Linked DNA regions of Sus scrofa. The protein of the gene in region 1 binds, or shares a complex with, the protein of each later gene. Links are inferred from orthologs where the notes say so. Each region holds a gene or a part of one and is shown on either strand. Other genes may lie near its edges. The genes, in order: ESR1 and SMYD2.

Region 1 (4,139 bases):
TTACATGCTATGTAATATACATTATTATCTGTTATACACACACACATATATAATGTGCTTGAGCATGTTTAGCTTTTAATTCAGTTCAGAACTTTTTACTATTTCTTTTCCAATCTGAATATTTGATTCTGCTTATCCTAGTCCAAGTGAACCAAGAAGGTCCAATTGTAGGATAAAAGAACAGACATGTATCATTGCATTTCAAAATGTGTTTGGTGAGACCAACAGTGTAGATTTGGTTAATGAGCCGAGGTTATGCTTTTTTTCTGGAAAGGTCACATTTCATATTCAGTTTTCTGAAGTTTTGGTTGCATAATCTGTGGAAGGCATGAATACCCATGTCCGCCTAACGGGAGGTTTCTGTAAATCGTCATTCACATTAGAATTCCTGATGGGAGCAAGTACAGTACTGCGGCCAAAGACAAACAGACAAGTCGGGCTGGGGGAATCTCAGATAGTCTTGGCTGGAGGGGATGACTTTGGGAGAATTTTGCAGATGAGGAGAACTGAGCTGGGCAGCACTCCCCTGACTGCAAAACGCAGCTCTTTCTATAGTACACCTTGAGTCTCCGCCCCCTTTCCCCCAGATGCCTCTTATCTGTCCCCCGAGCTGCTAAATATAGCCGTCTGCCTATGCACCCGCACACCCCATTCTATCTGCCATATCTCGGTTACAGAGTGGTCCTCCCCAGGGTCATTCTCTGTACACACTCCGTATTTCCAGCCAACGAGGAGCGTGAATCCAACAGAGAGAGAGACAAACAGAGATAGATTGGAGCCTGGCACGGGGCACATAAGGTAGCACGTTCGAGAGAGCCGGCCCCTGGATTAGTCTTCCGAGTTTGTTTTAAACCCCGTCATCTCCGGACCACCTTTAGGAGATCCCTCTGCGCCTCCGCCCTCCTGCAGTGAAATGCAGCCTCTATCCAGCAGCGACAAGTAAAGTAAAGTTCAGGGAAGCTGCTCTTTGGGATCGCTCCAGAACGAGTTGCGCCTGGAGTGATGTTTAAGCCAACGTCAGGGCAAGGCAACAGCCCCCTGGCCGGCTTCCAGCACCTTTGTAATGCATATGAGCTCGGGAGACCGGTACTTAAAGTTGGAGACCCGGGCCCGGGAGTTGGCGGAGCGCGCTCGCGCCGGGCTGCACTTGCTCGCGTCCGGCCGCCCCGCTCCCCGGGACGGGCCGGCTCCCGGGGCAGGGCCAGAGCTCGCGTCGCGGCGGGACATGCGCCGCGCCGCCTCTAACCGCGGGCTGTGCTCTTCTTCCAGGTGGCCGGCCGGCTGCTGAGCCCTCCGCCGCGGGGGGAAACGGTTTGCGCCTTGCCCGCGGCCACTGACCATGACCATGACCCTACACACCAAAGCGTCCGGCATGGCCCTGCTGCACCAGATCCAAGCCAACGAGCTGGAGCCCCTGAACCGCCCGCAGCTCAAGATCCCCCTGGAGCGGCCCCTGGGCGAGGTGTACGTGGACAGCAGCAAGCCCGCCGTGTATAACTACCCCGAGGGCGCCGCGTACGACTTCAACGCCGCGGCCGCCGCCTCCGCGCCCGTCTACGGCCAGTCGGGCCTCGCCTACGGCCCGGGGTCGGAGGCGGCGGCGTTCGGCGCCAACGGCTTGGGGGGCTTCCAGCCGCTCAACAGCGTGTCTCCGAGCCCGCTGGTGCTGCTGCACCCGCCGCCGCAGCTCTCGCCCTTCCTGCACCCCCACGGCCAACAGGTGCCCTATTACCTGGAGAATGAGCCGAGCGGCTATGCGGTGCGCGAGGCCGGCCCTCCCGCCTTCTACAGGTACCCGCGCCGCCCGCCGCGCCACGTCGGGGTGGCCGCCGCGCACCCGGCGGCGGGAGGGAGCGGGGGGCGAGGGGCCGCGCCGCCGGGAGCTCGCGGGGCCCGCAGGCCGCGGGGCTGGGCACCCGGCAGCCCGGCCGCCGCCGGCGCCGCGGACGCGCGACCCGAGGGCTAGGGCGCGACCCGGCCCAGGGTCACGGGTGGATCTCGCGTTCGAGAGTCAAGTTCTCCGGCCTGGCAGCTTAAAAAAAAAAAAAAAAAAAAAAAAAATTTCTACTCTCCACCCCGCCTACTGTCTGCGTGAGAAGCAGGTCCGAAACCCCGTGTGCTTTCCAACTAAACCAGTATTAGAAAACCGTGCAAAGCAGAGGTTATTTGTGGGGAGAAACGCCCCAGACCAAATAAGCACAAGGTGCTTTGAGTCCCTAGAAAAGGTCCCGCTTTGGCTGTAGGTGTTGGGGCAGGCGGAGCTCAGAGTTTTCTTTTTTACATAGTCTTATTATTTTACAAATTTGTTTTAACGTGCTTGCAAAATTTCCTTTCACCTAGAATTTCGGATTGGCTATGTGCACGCTGTGCCGCTGGTGAGCTGGTGATGGTGATGAGGGGGTGCTCATTTCCTTGGGAAGCGGTTCCTAGCAGCCCTTTGCTTGTCCTCCCTGTCCCACCTCCGAGGGAGGCTGTAGGACTGACCGAGCGCTGCTCAGATGAGCAAGGGTTGAATGGGTCTCAAGGAGTTTCTGATTTCTGAGTTATCTGGCGGAGTCCGTGTCAGAGCAGCTTGCTGGCAGAAGACTTCTGACAGCCGGAGATTTATAACTGTCCTGTGAGTTAAAAACATGCCACATCGAAGCACGAGTGTTTTGAAATACTTCCCTGCCAGCTAAGTTTCATTTCTGGCCTGCGGGGCTGAGAATGCCCTGGGAGTGGTGTGTATGGGTTCAGCCCAGTTCTGTGCCTTTCATTCTCAGGAGAAGCAACAGATAGTTAGTCGTTCAGGATAGACAGGAACACTTTTGTGACTTAAGAGGCAAGTGTTTTTTGTCCTATTTTTTTCCCCCTAGTAGACCCTATACTTTCCTTTGCTCCTCTTCCTCCCATTTTCCCTTTGACAGTTTCTCCCTTCTCTTCCTGATGGACTTTGCAGAGGGTTTAGGCAGGGGGTCCTGGTGGGTACCTGCACCCTAGGTGCTGCTGGACAGGGATAGCCTGGGTGGGGTTGGGAGGCCTCCCAGCACCCTGGTGGCTGGATGCTGGGTTAGGCACTGCCTGGCTGGACACTGCTGGTGTGTGGACGTGCCCTCCACCCTCACCCAGACCCTTCTGTATTGCAAGCTGTGGGCCGTTTTTCTATTCAGCATCTATTTCCAGAGATATTTATAGCAGAAGAAACGGGAGGAAGGTGCATCGTGGCCCTAGAGAATTCTGGAGGCAGCCGCTGGGGGTATCTGAACATCTGCCACATCCTTCAGCCCCCTCAGAGGACCTTAGAATGTCACACAGCCAAGCAGGTCCATCCTGAGTTATTACTTAAAACACAAACAATGAACAAAACTTTAAAAAGTTGGCCTCTATCGAATCATTTTAACTTGTTTTCTGCAGGGTTAAAATGGAAAGAGAAAAAGAATTTATTCTGCCCGCTTTTTTTAAGTGTTAGAATCAAATATGACAATTAAATCTAATTCACACAACATTTTAAACTCCTTGATGTGAAGGAAGGCACTGATAGGACGTGAATTCCATAACCTTATGGTAGACTCCAGAAACAGTTTTCTTTTCCATTTAATTTTCAGTTCTTTTCTTGCAAATTAATGCCACTGAATTTCAATGGACACTAATGAGACTGCTTCTCAGTGGATTATTTACTGCCCTGCTAATAATTACAAAGTGAACATGGTCAAATAAAGAGGGGAATCACATTTTATTCAAAATTGTTCAGCATCCTGGTGGCAAATAATATCACTATAACATGCCCATCTTAAACTTTCTGCATTCGATGATATTCAGATATTTTTAGAATAATAAAAAAGTGATATGGAACTTTCAACTCACCCACATTGGATTCTGTGTGGAAATTCAGTTTTAGAATGATCATTCTCCTTTGTAGTTTATTTCCCATAACATCCATCCTTCCTTTCTTTTCTTTTCTTTTCTTTTCTTTCTTTGAATTCCGCCTCTTATTACCCAAGAAAGAGGGGAAGGATCTATAAAATAAGTTATTTCAAATGGAGAGATGTTACTTCATATTTTTTCCCCTCTCAGTTTTGCTGTTTGAATAACTTTTGGTAAAAAAGAAAAGAATTCATTGGACTCTTTTAGGAAACTTTAATTTTCTTCAGTACTTATCA
Region 2 (4,540 bases), on another chromosome or scaffold:
TCTGAGAGGTCTGATGAGAACAGCCCCCCAAGTGAAAGACAGATGTATTTTTAGGACCTGCCTTCTGGCAGCTAAAGCAAGACACACGTCTTCCCAAGTGTCACCCCCCGAACTGAGAAAACATGATACAAATCTGAAACTCCCAGAAACAAACCTTTGTCTGAATTGCCCTGACAGTAAAACCTAAGAGACCTTCCCGTTATATTTCAACTTAGAGAACATACTTATTCCTGAAAAAAAAATCACTTATTTTCCTTCAAATTAAGTCAAACCCTGATACAATGAATGTAAGGAAAAATCTCTAGGCTCGTTTGGCTTAAGCAATATCGTGCACCTGCAACGTCTGGCACAAGAAATGATACGGTGTCGTTTTCCTTCTATGGGATGGGAGGAGGGGGGTTAATAGTGGATTTCTGCCCTGTATGCTTCACTATTTGAGGATGCTGCTCTATCCCCGGGGGAACAGTGGGGACACAGACACAGTAATTTGTGTCTAGCCCCGCAGAGTAATTTGTCCTCGGTCACATACAAACCATTGACAGGGGAAATGGTGCTCAATCTGCGAGAATGAGTTACCCACTAATTCTAAACCCATCGGAGTTAACAGAAACCAGAGTGCAAAGCTGTTTCTCATTTCACAAGCATCATGACGTCATTATTTCCCGTGTACTATTTTAGTTGATTTCAAGCGAGTCCTTGGGGAGAGAGAGGAAAGGTGCAGTGGGTGCTGACAGCAGTTCACCTGAGGCAGAGGGGGCGGGGTGCAGGGGTCCTGCTCCAACGCCTGGGGCAGCCCTGGCGAGGGGTCCAAGGCAACAGGGACACTAATGAATGTCATAGGAAAAGGGAAAAAGGCCAGTGTCATCACACATGGCTGGGTGATCTGTGAAGTGCCATCTGACTGCACCCTCCTGATCTATGGTCGGGGGTGTGCGTAGTAGATACCGTTAAGGAGGCTCACAGCGAAAGACCAGCATCTCAGCTCTGCTGCTCCACTGCGAACCCAGCTGGAGCTGGTCTTTAATGCACCGGAGGAGTGGTCTGGTAACGACCATCTGAGCACCTACCATGTGGCAAGTACCACCTTCTCTTCTCAAACAATAGAGCCCAGGAATCACCAGGAGCCCGATGGAGGGGGGCCCCTTCCGTGCTGGGTGACCTTGCTTTGCTCCTGCCACTCCAGACACCCACACTGCTTCAGACTCTGAGCCACAGCGAGGCTCAGAAGATCAAGGGACCAGACACAGCAGCCTTTTTAACTTTGGGAAAACCCAATGCTCACTTCACTCAAACGTCGCAAAGTGGTGCCATGACCCTTTAGCTCTTGGCTCACCAATTCAAAGAGCCACATCACATACAGCCCTTAAGCTGCCCACGGCATGATTCTGTGTCTAGTTCCTTTCCAGGTCCCCCCAAGCGGAAGACAGCTCTGGCAGGGAGTCTGGGCAAGATGACTATAGTATTTAGCTTTTGTCCCTTCTTTTGCTCTGTCTTATCGTGGAATAAGATGAACACATCTCAGAGATGGAGTACGCCAGCGTATGTTGGGCTTGCCCGGGCTGCAGACAGACCTGTACGCCAAAGGTACCTGCAGACCTCAGGTGGGCTTAATCTAGCCCAGGATTCTCCATTTCAAAGATGAAGAAACTGAGGTTCAAAGAACATAAAGTACCGGAAGGCCCTGTACAAGCTTAACTCCAAAGCCAGGCTTCCTGTCTCAGTACTACTGGGAACACTCAACTCGGGAGGAAATGGGTAGAACTGAAGACACTAGATTTCATTTTCGGAACGACAGACGTGAATACACATACGCAGTCGCACTCTCTCGCTCGGGGCATTAGTTCTCTTGCCTGTAAAACGGAGAGTGTTTCATGGATGATTTCTAACCTGCCTTTCAGGTCTGAAACTGTCATGGGGCTTTAGGATGCTAACTATGTGTTGCTGTATGTGAATACAAACACGAACGTATATACAGAATATGCCACAATTAAATACCAATTCCAACCACATGGTTTGCCAAATCCTGCCCCAGCAGCCGTGTCTTCCCAATCCCAAATCAGGGTTAGATACATGGCACCAGTGCAGCCCCTCTGCACCCCAGGTGTGTGGTCAGTGCTCCTCTGGCTTCTCTCCAAACACCAAGCGCAGGGTGAGAAGAAATAAGAGGAACCAGGTACTTTACATGAAATATTAAGTGGCATTAAGTTCCTTGGAGGAAACGCGGCACGTGTGCGACACAGCCGGCCTGTGGGGCACAGAACACACCGCAGAAAGCACAAGTTGAAGGTGACAGACTGCATGTAGCTGCGCGAACCTGGGGCCCCGCCAGCCACGCACCCCAGTGGGCAGCGTGTGCTGACGCTGGGAGCAAGGCCGGCTCCGCGCCCACGTTTGAGGGCAGGATTCTGCCCTCGCGGGTTTAGCATATTCCGCGGGAGCAGCTCGGAAAGCGTGCCGTGCAGGGCGTGCGAAGGGAACTTGGCTCCTCTTTCCTAACGCACGTGGCACAATCAGGCCTGGGGTTCAAGGGCGCCGCCCGCCCCCTCCCCCGAGCCGCGGGCGCTAGGACCCCGCGCGCCGCGCGCACTTCCTCCCGCCGCGGTCCGCCCGCCCCGGCGGCGCCCCGGCTCCCGCCCGCCCGCCCGCCCGTCCGTGCGGGCCACCCTACCTGGCGAAGCAGAACTCGCAGTGGTTGCCCCGCTCGTTGACCGTGAGCACGTAGGCGTAGGCCGGGCAGGAGAAGAGCAAGTCTCCCACCTGGAAGGGCTGCAGGGCCCGCAGCCCCCGGCCCTTGCCCGGGCTGCAGAAGCGCTCCAGCCCGCCGTCGCCCTCGGCCCTCATGCTGGCGGCCGGGCTGGCGCGGAGGGGGCCCGGCGCCGGCGGAGCCCGCAGCGGCGGCTCCCCGCGAGCTGTTATTGGAGAAGCGTCACCCTGAGCGGCGGGGGGCGGGGTGGGAAGCCGCCCGGCGGACGCGGCGGCGGCGGCGGCGGCGGCCACCGCTCCCCGGAAGGGACGGCGGCCCCGCCCGGTCCTCGCACGCCCCCGGGAGGCGGGGGAGAGGCCCGGCGGCCCCGCCTGGCGTGCGGGACCCTCGGCGGCCGCCCCGCATGCCCCCGGGGCCGCTTCCGGTGTGGCCGCCGCCGGGAGCGGCATCTCCCGCGGCTCCTAGAAGGAGGGCGGGAGGCGTCTCCGCCTCCGCGGCGTTTCCACGGAGCGCGCGGGACGCTGCCCGCTTTCCGGTGGGCGGGATGGGGTCGCCCACGGGGGCAGCTACCCTGCGCCCGTCCCGGGCTTGGCCTGTAGGAAGGCCGGTGATTAGGAAATTGAAGGAGGCCAAGATGCTTTGCAACCTTGCGTGTGTCCTTGACAAGGACCGTAGAAGGCGTCCTCTGGGAACACGGAAGAGAAACCGCCGTAAAAAAAAGTTTGATGTACTAAGATTAAAGAGTGCTTCCCCAAGGTTAAAAGTTTTTCAACCCGATGAGGCTTTAAACCTTCTAGGGAGTCTTCATCGTGAACCTACTCTTCCCTCTGCCCCCCTAGTGGAAGTTAATTACGTGGACGGAAAAGGAACTGCACCGGTCACCCTAACTCACTCGAAGCTTCTGCATACACGCAACGATGCGGAGGAGGCAGGAGACAACCTTGCCAGCAGGGAATTTAGACTTGTCGGGGGCAGTGGCGTGCTGTAGCCAGAGCACCCGGCTAGAATTGTGGTGGTTCTAATCGATTTGACCAGGCACTGTCATCTTAGAAAAATCTGTTAGGTTTTGAGCCACATAGAGGATTTAAAACAGGTAAAGCTCAAAGAACAGTGCTTTAGCACTTAATCCTATACACTTGTATACTATTGGAGTTTTTCGTATGAGAAAGATATAATCTGTTCCATGTAAAGGCTGAAATTGATGCACATGCAGTTAAGGACTCAGTCGTGAAGACAGAATTTAGCAAAAACACTAATATTTCAAACTCAAGTTTGACCTCAAACTATGGCACATGCCTAAGTTCAAGACTAATTTAACAAAGGGAGAGATGAATATGATTTGGAGTCATGAGATTATTAGAATTTTTGACACTTCAATAAAGTTCTAAAATGAATAAGCCTCTAGTCCTCCTGAAAAGAAGAATACATCATGGATACTCTCCCATTTAGGCATTTTAAGAAGCATTCACTGAGCACCTACTATGGCCAGTCCCTGGCATAGAAAGATGGGCAAAATGTAGGCCTAGGTCTTTGCATGTGACACATTCACAGCCCAACAATAATTACCAATAGTTAGTGACTATTATGGACCAGGCATTGTGCTCTGTACCTTAGACACAGTATCCCATTTAATCTGTAATTCCAACTGCCCAATGAGTTAGGTGTTATGTCTCCTATTTCCAAAACTAGGAAATCAAAACTCAGAATATCCAAGGCCACACAACTGAGCTGCAGAATTTGGTTTCAGCCTCCAGTCAGTCTGAACTTGAGGCCCATACTCTTAGCCCAAATGTCCCCCTGCAAACAAAGACAGCTCTCTGAGGGAAGTGTCATTAT

Evidence for each region.
Region 2: the proteins of ESR1 (region 1) and SMYD2 are in contact, whole or in part, in a crystal structure (PDB 4O6F), measured with the Homo sapiens proteins. The link is inferred for Sus scrofa from reciprocal best matches to the Homo sapiens genes ESR1 and SMYD2. Residues at the interface, in NP_000116.2 of Homo sapiens: Gly262, Arg263, Met264, Leu265, Lys266, His267, Lys268, Arg269, Gln270, Arg271; in NP_064582.2 of Homo sapiens: Leu148, Val179, Asn180, Cys181, Asn182, Gly183, Phe184, Thr185, Glu187, Leu191, Ser192, His193, Ser196, Ala203, Ile214, Val215, Ser239, Tyr240, Ile241, Asp242, Tyr245, Arg253, Tyr258, Ile302, Arg306, His341, Tyr344, Leu379, Asn380.

The regions. Positions count from the first base shown.
Region 1 is NC_010443.5:14,488,366-14,492,504, reverse strand, and holds the start of ESR1 (estrogen receptor), read left to right. Parts: upstream 1-1,339; coding exon 1,340-1,791; intron 1,792-4,139.
Region 2 is NC_010451.4:129,313,218-129,317,757, forward strand, and holds the start of SMYD2 (N-lysine methyltransferase SMYD2), read right to left. Parts: upstream 3,006-4,540; 5' UTR 2,842-3,005; coding exon of another isoform or gene 2,669-2,841; intron 1-2,668. UniProt on the Homo sapiens protein: Protein-lysine N-methyltransferase that methylates both histones and non-histone proteins, including p53/TP53 and RB1. Specifically trimethylates histone H3 'Lys-4' (H3K4me3) in vivo. The activity requires interaction with HSP90alpha.